Linked DNA regions of Coturnix japonica. The protein of the gene in region 2 interacts with the protein of the main gene of each other region in a pairwise test. Links are inferred from orthologs where the notes say so. Each region holds a gene or a part of one and is shown on either strand. Other genes may lie near its edges.

What was found. The genes of interacting proteins can lie anywhere in the genome.
Region 1: the proteins of TFDP1 (region 2) and E2F6 interact in binary tests that used the Homo sapiens proteins (3 or more experiments, as listed by UniProt). The link is inferred for Coturnix japonica from reciprocal best matches to the Homo sapiens genes TFDP1 and E2F6.

What each region holds. Positions count from the first base shown.
Region 1 is NC_029518.1:88,733,444-88,739,025, forward strand, and holds the start of E2F6 (transcription factor E2F6), read right to left. Parts: upstream 3,567-5,582; 5' UTR 3,330-3,566; coding exon 3,264-3,329; intron 652-3,263; coding exon 603-651; intron 1-602. UniProt on the Homo sapiens protein: Inhibitor of E2F-dependent transcription. Binds DNA cooperatively with DP proteins through the E2 recognition site, 5'-TTTC[CG]CGC-3'. Has a preference for the 5'-TTTCCCGC-3' E2F recognition site.
Region 2 is NC_029516.1:123,725,805-123,731,132, reverse strand, and holds the start of TFDP1 (transcription factor Dp-1), read left to right. Parts: upstream 1-1,851; 5' UTR 1,852-1,967; intron 1,968-2,333; exon of another isoform or gene 2,334-2,461; intron 2,462-2,873; 5' UTR 2,874-2,946; coding exon 2,947-2,958; intron 2,959-5,328. UniProt on the Homo sapiens protein: Can stimulate E2F-dependent transcription.

The DNA of each region.
Region 1 (5,582 bases), on a different chromosome or scaffold from region 2:
CACCTTCTTGTCTCACACCATCCTGCATGTCTCCCATATAATTCTCAGGCATAATTTAGGAGTTAGCTTGCCTCCAGGGACTATTTCAGTCCACTTGGTTCCAGAGTCTAAGAATGTAATGTCTGAACACACTTAACTTGCACTGTTCTGTTTAGTCTTGGAGACTAATAACTGGTGAAGCTGCTGTTTAATTTATTATATGACAAAGATCTACAAATCAAGAGATACCAGTGTATAGTCTGAGAGCAGAAAAGGCACTCAACAGCTTGGTTAATGTTAGACTGTTATTTATGTACACCTGACCACTCCTTCATTTTAAAGCCCCAAAGTAGTTATGGCAAACACGCTCTCATATAAAAATCTCTGATGCTGGTCAATAAAAGACTGCAAAACATCACTGTTACTTGTGCCTTGTACTGCAAAGTATTTCATATCTTATCAGACTTTACCACTAAGTAATATTCCGGCCTAATGCTTCAACAGAACTATATTAGGTATGTTACAATTTCCCATTTGTTTACAGCATGCATCACCACTGTAAAAAAACACAACAAAAGAACATGAAATACTTCAAGGGTAACGCATGGAATGCAGCCACTTACTTTTTACAACTGGTACGTCATCATCTAAACTCAAGTCAAGCATTGGTGTCTGAGGAAAAAAAAAATCAAGGTGTAAGTAATGCCAGATGCAAACAGTAACAGGAGAACTGACAGCTCAACAGAGCAATGTGAAGGAATCTCACTCAGTAGAAGAACAGTAGTTGCAATTAGTCGTGGGTTGCTGTGGCTTAAAATGCTCCTTCAGTTACGTGTCTTAACACATGTGCCACTTTTGACAGATGGCTGATGGCTGCACTCAAGTTTATCACCATCCTTCCTGTATCGGTCAGTCCCAAATGAGACACAGCACTCCAGAATCACAGAATTGGTTGGAAGGGACCTCTAGAGATCATCAAGTCCAACCCCCCTGCCAAAGCAGGCTCCCTACACCATGTCACACAGGTAGGCATGCAGGCGGGTCTTAAATATCTCCAGAGAAGGAGACTCCACCACCTCCCTGGGCAGCCTGTTCCAGTGCTCCATCACCTGCACTGTAAAGAAGTTCTTCCACACATTCGTGCGGAACTTCCTATGCTGTACTTTCATCCCATTACCCCTAGTCCTATCCCCATGCACTGCTGAAAAGAGACCAGCCTCACCACTATGGCTCCCACACCCACAGAAGCAAATACTTGACAAGCAAAGGAGAACTGCATACACCTCAGTGCAGGATATACCGATATCTCATGTTTAGCCCACTGTCCATACAGATTCTCAGGTCAGGACAGGACTCTTCAGCAGGATAATTCCATAACATCTCACTTCCCAGCCTTTACCACATCAAGTTACACTTCCAGGTATAGGATTCAGACTTAATTTTCAAATTCCTTGTTCAAGTTGATCATCTCCTTGATGATCCATCCCTCCAGCCTATTCCCAGAGGTTTCTAACATCTCCAGCCTTATCTGTGTCTGCTTTCACTAAACCACTTCTTCCCCTTAGCAGCAAATTCACATTTTCCTTCACTCACCCTTCCTTGGCAGTTAAAAAGCTCCAGTCACCCTCGATGATGTCCTTACAGGCCTCCACCCCTTCATCTTTCCAAGCTGCCTCTCCCAATATTTCAGTGATGTGTTGCCTGAATAAGCTGAGTCCCGAAGTCTGCTCTCCCAAAGTCCCAAAGCACGTGCTGTGCCAGGGGAGGTTCAAGTTCAATACCAGAAAATGTTTGTTTTTTTTCTTGGAAAGAGTGGTGATCCATTGGAAAAGGCTACCAAGGGAGGTGGTACAGTCACCATCCAGCACAGCCACTCAGCCCTTCCCCACGCCTTGCACTCAGTCCCCACAGCACGCTGCAGACATACAAGCAGGTGGAGCTCTTGCTACATACCTCATGGACAGCACAGGAGCAGACCTGAGCTAGATGACCAGGTTAACTTGGTGCTTAACATCACCAGAGTCTGATGAGAGGCTGATTGCAAATAGTGCACTCAGGTCTGAGAAAATACCTGAGAGGGAGAGAGCCCTGGACAACAGGGCACTGTAAAGAGTCTCTGTTGCCCTATGGTGTCCTGGGAGCACCCTATAGAATCTATAGGGCCCCAATTCCTCCGTTACAGCATTTACGGGATCTCTATGGGAAATGGTTTTAAGTTAAAAGAAGGAAGATTTAGGTTGGATGTTAGGGGGAAGTTCTTCACTAGGAGAGTGGTTAGGTCCTGGAACAGGCTGCCCAGGGAGGTTGTGGATGCCCCGTCCTTGGAGGTGTTCAAGACCAGGTTGGACGGGGCCCTGGGCAACCTGATCTAGTAAAGGTGTATGTTTGGCGGCCCTGCCAGGCAGGGGGGTTGGAACTACATGATCCTTGAGGTCCCTTCCAACCTGGGTCATTCTGTGATTCTGTGTGATTCTATGCTCCTATACTCCTGAATGCTCCCCCCACAAAGGCTCTAGAAGGCCCTGGGATCCCCCCTACAGGGCCCAGAACACAAACCCAACCCACAAGGCCTATAACACCTCTATAAGCCTCACGAGGCCACTCTGCCTCACAGCTCCCCATAGGCCTCGGCTGCCGATGCCACTTTCCGACCATCCTTCGCTGCCTTCCCAGCTTCGGTCCCAGCTTCACCACCTCCTCCTTGTCCTTCCCAATGGCCCCCAGCAGCTCTGTCTCCTCTTTCTAGTTCTGCATTTTTTGTTTTTGGCACCGTGTCAACTTGTTCTTTGTAAAGAGACAGAACCGAAACTGTTTTCTCTTTTAAAACAGCTTTTTAAGGGATTACATTTCATCACGTTCCAGATTTTAGCGCTTAAAATGTACTGGGTCTCTATTAAGTCCACCACTCAACTCTCTGCAGTCATATGTACCCATTAATTAGAAGCACTGGTGGTGAAGCACTCCTATTTTGGCTGGGAAACCAAGTTTTAAATCAAACCTCTCCACTCTACCCGTAAAGAGACAGGGGGGTTGGAACTACATGATCCTTGAGGTCCCTTCCAACCCGGCTCATTCTGTGATTCTGTGTGATTCTATAAAGAGCTACATTAGAAAAGCTCTATCCTGACGTCCTCCCGCTCCCAGCAACCCGCAGCGCCGTCCCTCCCCACACACCCCTCCCTCCCTCCGCAGCAGGATCCAAGCCCCAACCCAGCCCATCCCAGCCCCGCCCTCTGGCCGTTCCCAGGCTGTATTTCCATCCCTATTCCCCGCCCGCTCCGTACCGCGCTCAGACGCAGCGTGTCCGGCCGCAGCGGCCTCAGGCGCTCCCACTTGGAGGCGGCGGCCATGTTGGCGCGCCCCCTCCTCTTCCTCCTTCACGCCGGCGGCGGACTTCGATGAGACGGCAGAGCACTCAAAACCCTACCCGATGTTGCTGGGGGCCCGTGCGGGATAAAGGCGCCTCCATCCCCGCCCCACCTCCGGGTGGAGGGGGTGCCGGGGCCGCCTGGGCTCAGCGCTGCGGCCGCTCCTACCCTCCCCCACCTGTGGGCGGCCGGGCGGCGGATGGAGCGTTTGCGCATGCGCGCACCTGGCCAAGGTGACGCAAAGGCCGAGCACCAATCCGGTGCCGCGGGGATTTCCCGCTCTCTCGCAGCGGAAGCGCCGTGTGCATCGTTACCTCAGTGCCCTCATCACTGAGCGCTGTGTGGGGGTCAATGGAACAGGCTGCACAGGGGGATGGACGAAAGACTCAACATGAGCCAGCAGTGCGCTCTGGGAGCCCGGAAAGCAAATGGGATCCTGGGCTCCATCAGGAGAGGGGTGGTCAGCAGGGATAAGGAGGTGATTGTCCCTCTCTACTCGGCTCTTGTGAGGCCCCATCTGTTGTACTGTGTCCAGGTGTGGAGCCCTCAGTACAAGAAAGACATGGAGATTTTGTTAAGGGTCCAGAGGAGGGCCACAAAGATGATCAGGGGGCTCCAGCACCTCCCCTATGAGGACAGGCTGAGGGAGTTGGGTTTGTTCAGCCTGGAGAAGAGAAGGTTGCGGGGTGACCTCATTGCAGCCTTTCAATACCTGAAGGGAACTTACTCCCAGGAGGGGAGTAAACTCTTGGAAAGGGCTGATAATAGCAGGACACGGGGAAATGGTTTTAAGTTAAAAGAGGGAAGATTTAGGTTGGATGTTAGGGGGAAGTTCTTCACTAGGAGAGTGGTTAGGCCCTGGAACAGGCTGCCCAGTGAGGTTGTGGATGCCCCGTCCTTGGAGGTGTTCAAGGCCAGGTTGGACGGGGCCCTGGGCAACCTGATCTAGTAAAGGTGTATGTTTGGTGGCCCTGCCAGGCAGGGGGGTTGGAACTACATGATCCTTGAGGTCCCTTCCAACCCGGGTCATTCTGTGATTCTGTGTGCTTCTGTGACACATCACTGATACCTAAAAACACACACTTTCTTACGGGCAACATAATGCTCTCTAAGTATTCAATAGCAGAAAGTACAGTCCAATAAGGAATGAAGATTATCCTCTTGCTGTTATACTCAACTGGAGGCATATCTTCTCCAATTGGATCGATTTTCGACCCACCACCAGAGGGCGGTCATTCCATTTGCTGAATGGGATGTTTTAACATTCATATAACCTACAACAATGATTTCGTTAAAATTTTCTGGTTTCAAATGCAGTCTCCCCTTAAATGAAATCTTGCAGCTGGGCTTTCCTGTAGATGCATGTGTGCAATTGCAAAGATGAGCCAAAGCTAATATTGTCCTGAAAAAGTGAATAAGTATGAAAGCATTAAAGACAAATTATACATGTAAGTATCATATGGATGCAAGTATCTGTCTATATTTTTGTATATCACAGAATCACACAGAATCACAGAATGACCCGGGTTGGAAGGGACCTCAAGAATCATGTAGTTCCAACCCCCCTGCCTGGCAGGGCCACCAAACATACACCTTTACTAGATCAGGTTGCCCAGGGCCCCGTCCAACCTGATCTTGAACACCTCCAAGGACGGGGCATCCACAACCTCCCTGGGCAGCCTGTTCCACTCTCCTAATTTAATCTCCTATATTAATATGTCTGCTTGTTTAAACTTCCTTATCTCATTCAAATCCTGTTAAAGTTCTGACCTCTACATAATGATTATATATAAAGAATTTAAATGCTACCAAGTGATTTTTTACACTGTAAAATGTAAGAATTAAAATGTGTTTCTGGTAATAGTGCTTTCTTTCTTGTCCTCAGCTTAATATGGCTGGAAAAAGAAAGATGATGAAGGGCCTGGAGCATCTCCCATATGAGGAAAGGCTGAGTAACATGGGTCTGGAGAAAAGAAGACTGAGATCGAGGTTTATTTGCAGGGGGCACATGGATGAGCTCAGACTCTTTGCAGTGATGTGTAGTGATAGGACAAGGAGCAGTGTCCAAAAACTGGAACAAATGAAGTTCCACACAAATATGCAGAATGACTTCTTTACAGTGAGGGTGGCAGCAATGGAACAGGCTGCGCAGAGAGGCTGTGGAGTCTCCTTCTTTGGAGATATTCAAGACCCATCTGGATGCCCACCTGTGTGACCTATTGTAGAGTACCTGCT
Region 2 (5,328 bases):
CAGCTGGACATCCTTTGCTTTGTGGGCAGAGAGGCACGTGGGAGTGCCTCGCATGAGAAAACAGTGCTATAGGATGATGTTTGATGAAGGATGTGAGAAACCTTGTGTGGTCTTGCTGCCTGCTGGAATGAACCCAAAACAGTTAACCACAAAAGCACTCCTGGGTTTTGTCTAGGGAAGGAATGTATTTCTGCTCCGTAAGCAATCCTGGCAGTGCTCCAGCACATGGGCAACGTGGAGTGTAGAGGAAACTGGACCCCCAAGTGACAAGGATAAGCTGTGCTAGCAGTGTTTGTAGCATGGCTGGAAACAGCAATAGCTTATTAACAACAGCAAGTACCAGTCAAGCCACCGTTAGCTGATCTGACAGTGAAGGCGGCAGCGATGCCAGTGAAAGGAGAAGGAAAAGCAGCAAGATGTTTTAAAGGCTGGAAATCATGCAGCCCACCCTGCCCTGAAGGAAACAACAGGCAGAAGATAAAGATACAGGCCTACCAGCTTCACGGAGCAGGAAGCGTGTTTCTTTGGATCTCCCACAGACTCCATTGAGTAATTACTACTGCCAGTGGGGAGAGGCTTCTTGATGGTAGGGACGGTGAGCCACCAAGAGAGACTAAGAAATCCCAATTTCTGCAGATAAAGGACAAACTGGACAATCAAGTGACCGGAGTGCCTATGGACAGCTGATCCTGCCTTGGGGGATACAACCTACATCAGGGAATGGCAAAACTCTTAGGGTTACAGTGGCAAGCTGTATTTTTATTTCTTAAAATAGAGCAGAAATTTGAGAATTGGGAGATAGTTCCACCCAAGGAGGCCAAATGCTGACAAGCTTATCAGCTGGTATGAGGGCTGTATTTAAGGAGCTCTCACAGGTCCCTCTCTTAAGATGGCTTGGCTTCAATTTCCAACAATCAGAATGGGTCCCTGTGCACGTTCTCTGGCAGGTTTCTGATTGCAGGTTAGTTAAAACACGTTCTCCTCATATCTGTGTCCGCTGTGGAGTCGCAGCAAACTGACGTTTGGAGTTGTAATCTGTTCTCATTCTGAAACGTGCTCAATTCTTGTTTGCAGAGAAGCTGCTGCTACCATGTCCCACAAGGAAGGAAGGATGGGGAGATGGGGCCATGGCGGCTATCAGTGCAGGGCAATGCGTGGCCGTGGTACCCACAGCAATGAGTGGGGCAGACACAGAGGAGGAAGTTTTTCACACAGAGGGTTGTGACGCACTGGAACAGGTGGTTGTGGATGCCCCATCCCTGGAGGGCTGGCTGGATGTGGCTCTGGGCAGCCTGGTCTGGTGGTTGGTGACCCTGCACATAGCAGGGGGGTTGAAACCAGATGATCATTGTGGTCCTTTTCAACCCAGGCCATTCTATGGCTCTATGATTCTACCATCCAGTCCAACTATGAGCCCATGCCTGCTGACCACATCTCTCAGTGCCACATCCACACAGCTCCTCAACACCGCGTACCCCGGTGGCGCAGTGGTAGGAATGCCGCGTTGCAACACCAAAGGCGCTGGGTTCGAATCCCCCTGTGGCGCAAGTGGTAGAAGTGCCGCTCTGCTACACAGAGACTCGAATCCCGGGGGTTCGACTCGATGATCTCTAAGGTCCCTTCCAACCCGCACCAGACTGTGATACTGTGATGATGATGACACCTCCAGGGACGATGCCTCCATGGCTGCCGTGCTCCCCAGCTGTGCCCATCCCCACCCGCCATGTGCCGGTCACCGCACTGATGGCCGCACACCACGTGCCCGCCCGAACATCAACCTGGCGCCGCCGCTTCCCGCCGCCAGCGTTGCAGGGCGGGGAGTCGGAAAGCGCGAAAATCCCGCGCATGCTCCCTCCGCCCCCGCCGTGCCGGCCGGTTGGCTGCTGCGCTCCGCGTGTGCCCGTGCAAGGCACGCTACACCCCGTGACGTCAGCGCGCAGCGTCACGCCGGTGGGACGCACAAAAGTGTAAGTTTCAATTTTTTTTTTTCGGGCTCCCCCTCATTCCCCGGTTCACCGGCGCTGTCCCCCCCCCCAAATCCCCACGGGGAATAGAACGAAAGGGAAGAGAGAGAAAGCGGACGGTGGGATCGCGGGCAGGGACAGCCGCTTTAGTTCACCCCCCCCCCCCCCCCCCTTTCCCCGCTGCCGCCCCCCGTGCAGGTGTGCTCTGGCCGCACGGTGACAGCCCGCACGCCGCCCCCCCACACCCCGCCGTGCCGGCACGGAGCGCGTCCAGCCGCCCCCCCCCATATATACACACACATTGCGGCCGTTGGGCGCCCGCTCCCTCCCTCCGCCCCTGCCCCCTCCCGCCGGGCTCGCGGGCCCGCGCGCGCCGCCCGCCCGCCGCACATGTGCAGTCGGGCGCCTCCGCAGCGGCAGCTCGGCGCCGGGACACGGGCTGGGGGGACAGCGGCGGCGGGGGATGGAGCCGGCGATCTCCGCATTGGGCCGCTCAGGTGCGAGCGGCTGCGGCCCCAGGATACGGAGGGAAGGATGGGAGGCGCCCGCGGAGCCGCCATCGGCGTGGCCACCCGCCGCTGAGCGGAGGCCCCGGCGGCTGCGGTCTCCGGCTGCGGGCGGGAAGGGAGGGGGGCGGCCCAGAGGCCTGCGTGTGCCCGCCGACGGGATGGGGCCCGCCCGAGCGTGCCGTGCAACCCCCACCACAAGCCGTGAGGGTGGGCGGCGGGGCGTCGCTCCCACGTGCTGGCTGTGAGCGGGGGCGTCGCTTCGATAGAACGGGGCATGGGGGGGAACTTTGCGCTCTCCCATAGGGTTCTGTTCTGAAGCACAACGGGAATCGGGGCGGTGCAAAGTTTGCCTCGTCTCATTGTGGAGAGCTGACTGATGGTGGTTGTGTTTGCTTTCTAGAGAATAGCATCGTCGTCCCAGCGTCCCGCAGGCAGCAGGATTGTAAGAGGATTGCCTGCTAGGCTGGGGTAACATGGCAAAAGATGTAAGTATATTTATAGCGCATCACATGCAGGGGCATAGCTAATAGCATATTTTTGCTTTTGTTTTTGCTAACGGAAGCAAAGCAGGTCAGGCTCTGGTATAGCTGGCAGTGCAAACGTGTGAACCTGACTGTGCTGTACCCCAGGCCTGGGCTGTGCTTCACTATATGGATGGTCCGACCCCAAACCAGCTTCAGGTCTGCAGCAGGTTCCTCAAAGTAGCCCTTGGAATCTACTGTCGTCATAAAAGCTCTCTGGTCATTGGCATTAGATGTGTTCACATTGAACACCACCCCAGGTTGGCTTTGACGTGGGTTCAGAAAGCCCTAGAATACACCGTTCAGATGCTGGGGTGGTTGGTGGCTCTGTCCTGTTATCTCCAGAAGTCACCAGCTGAGTGTCACTGCTGGCTGGTGCTGCCTCTGCTGCTTGGTGTGTTCGGGGTAGCAAAGCCTCCTTATCTCCTCACTCTTTCTTCCCTGTCCATTCAAAGATGCTGATTACTGCTTGTAAAAGCAAGCATTGGGAGCTTGCAGCATACACTTCCACTGCCATCCTTGCCATGACTGGTGGCCTTGAGGCAGGCCTCAGAAACACCTTTGCTCTTATCCATTCCAGTATTCTTTTAAGAACCATTTGAACAGGTTCCGCCTTTCAGATCTATTTCATTGCTTGTAGCTAATGTAATTGGACTGCCACGGTTCTATATTGAGAAGGAGAGAATGGAGAGCTCTGTATTCAAACTTGAATGCATCTCCCCCCCACCCCCCCCAAAAAGGACAACAAAATAGCAAACAAGTCACAAAGCAATTCCAGTTCTAAACAGCAGGTTACGTTATTGTGTGAACTGTTGTAGCTTTCGGAGAGTGAGAATTACTGTGAAATAGTGATTGGTTTAACAAATTAATCTTGTAGGGAATTTTAGGAGTTCAGAAGCATATGGAAAGTATCTCGGTGTGCAGAAACGCAACCAGAAATACGTAGTCACTGCACGCTCGCCTGTAAAAGATAAGGGCGTTCAAGTGCGCTACAGATAGCAGAGTTCAGGGAATGAAGGGCTGTACGAGCAGGGAAAAAAATGGAAGAGGAGGGGTGGAAGAGGAGGTGAAATAAGCGGCAGCTCAGAGTAATTCATATGTTAGGATACATCCATTTCGTACTGCCATTTGGAAGGAGATGGGCTGAGTGAAGGACTGGCACCTGGAAGTTAGATCGGTGTCGTATAATGTGTGTGGGGACATAATGGGGGTAAGGCATCTAAGAAAGAACCTAATTGGAGAGATCCATTTTGCTGTAGGAGGGGAGTAGTTAAGGGAGGAATAACATGCGCAACAACAAACTTCAGAAATGGAAGAAGATGCTACAGGTGGGAACGAATAGGTGTTTTCAGTGTCTTCTAAGAGCAGATCAAGAAGTAATAAACTGAATTTGGAGGAGCAGTAATCCGGCTCAGGTTGTAGGTGACATGTTAAGCATGCTTGAACACTGGGACAGGGTAGGGAGAAAGTGTATGAGGTCTTAACTGAAGAACTGTGTAACCCGTTTTCAGAAGCCTTTGCATATATGTAAAATCCTGTTTGAGGGAAGAAAGATGAACCGCATTAATGGCCCGCGGTTCTGCTGTGTCACCTATCGAGCGCTCTAACGGTCTGCAAGATGTGGTGAATAACATGGCATAGTTGATGAATGCCCCCACCCCTTCCTTCCCTTTTTCATTTCCAGCAGGGCTGAAGTGGCACAACTGTGGTGAGGGCGGTTTGTGCCGCTCTCCCCCCAGGTCTGGAGGTGGCATTCCCATGGCCAAGCGTGTATCAGCACGCTGCAGCTGGGGAACATGGGCTCCGGGCGAGCCCCTGGGTCCTGTGCTGGCAGCTGCTGGAACAGGCAGCCCTGCAGAAGGTGTGGAGCCAGGGCTGTGCTAGATAATGCTCCCGCTTAACCCCTCCTCCCACTTGCTGAAGGAAAATACTTCTTTTCCTTACGTTGCTCACTTGTAGCTTTCCAGCTGATGCCTCTATTATATTAGGCTGCGGTTGGTCTTGATGATCTTCAAGATCTTTTCCAACCTGGGTAATTCTATGATTCTATATGAAAACTGCTATTTGAAAATACCTGTTTGGAAAGTTAAACGCCTACTAAGACTAAGACTTTATAGGGGAATTGAAGAAATGGGCAGCATGATGGAGAGTATTGGCGAGCCCAAGAAAATGCTTTTAAAAAGGACTAAGTAATGACAAAAGTAGCGATCAGGTAAGCTGGCAAGATAATGCTTGCAAGATATTTGACCAAAGTCTAAATTCTGTTAAATATTACATTAAAATATATCCCTCTAATGCTTTTCAGAGTGTACAGTAAAGAGAAAATAAGCAACA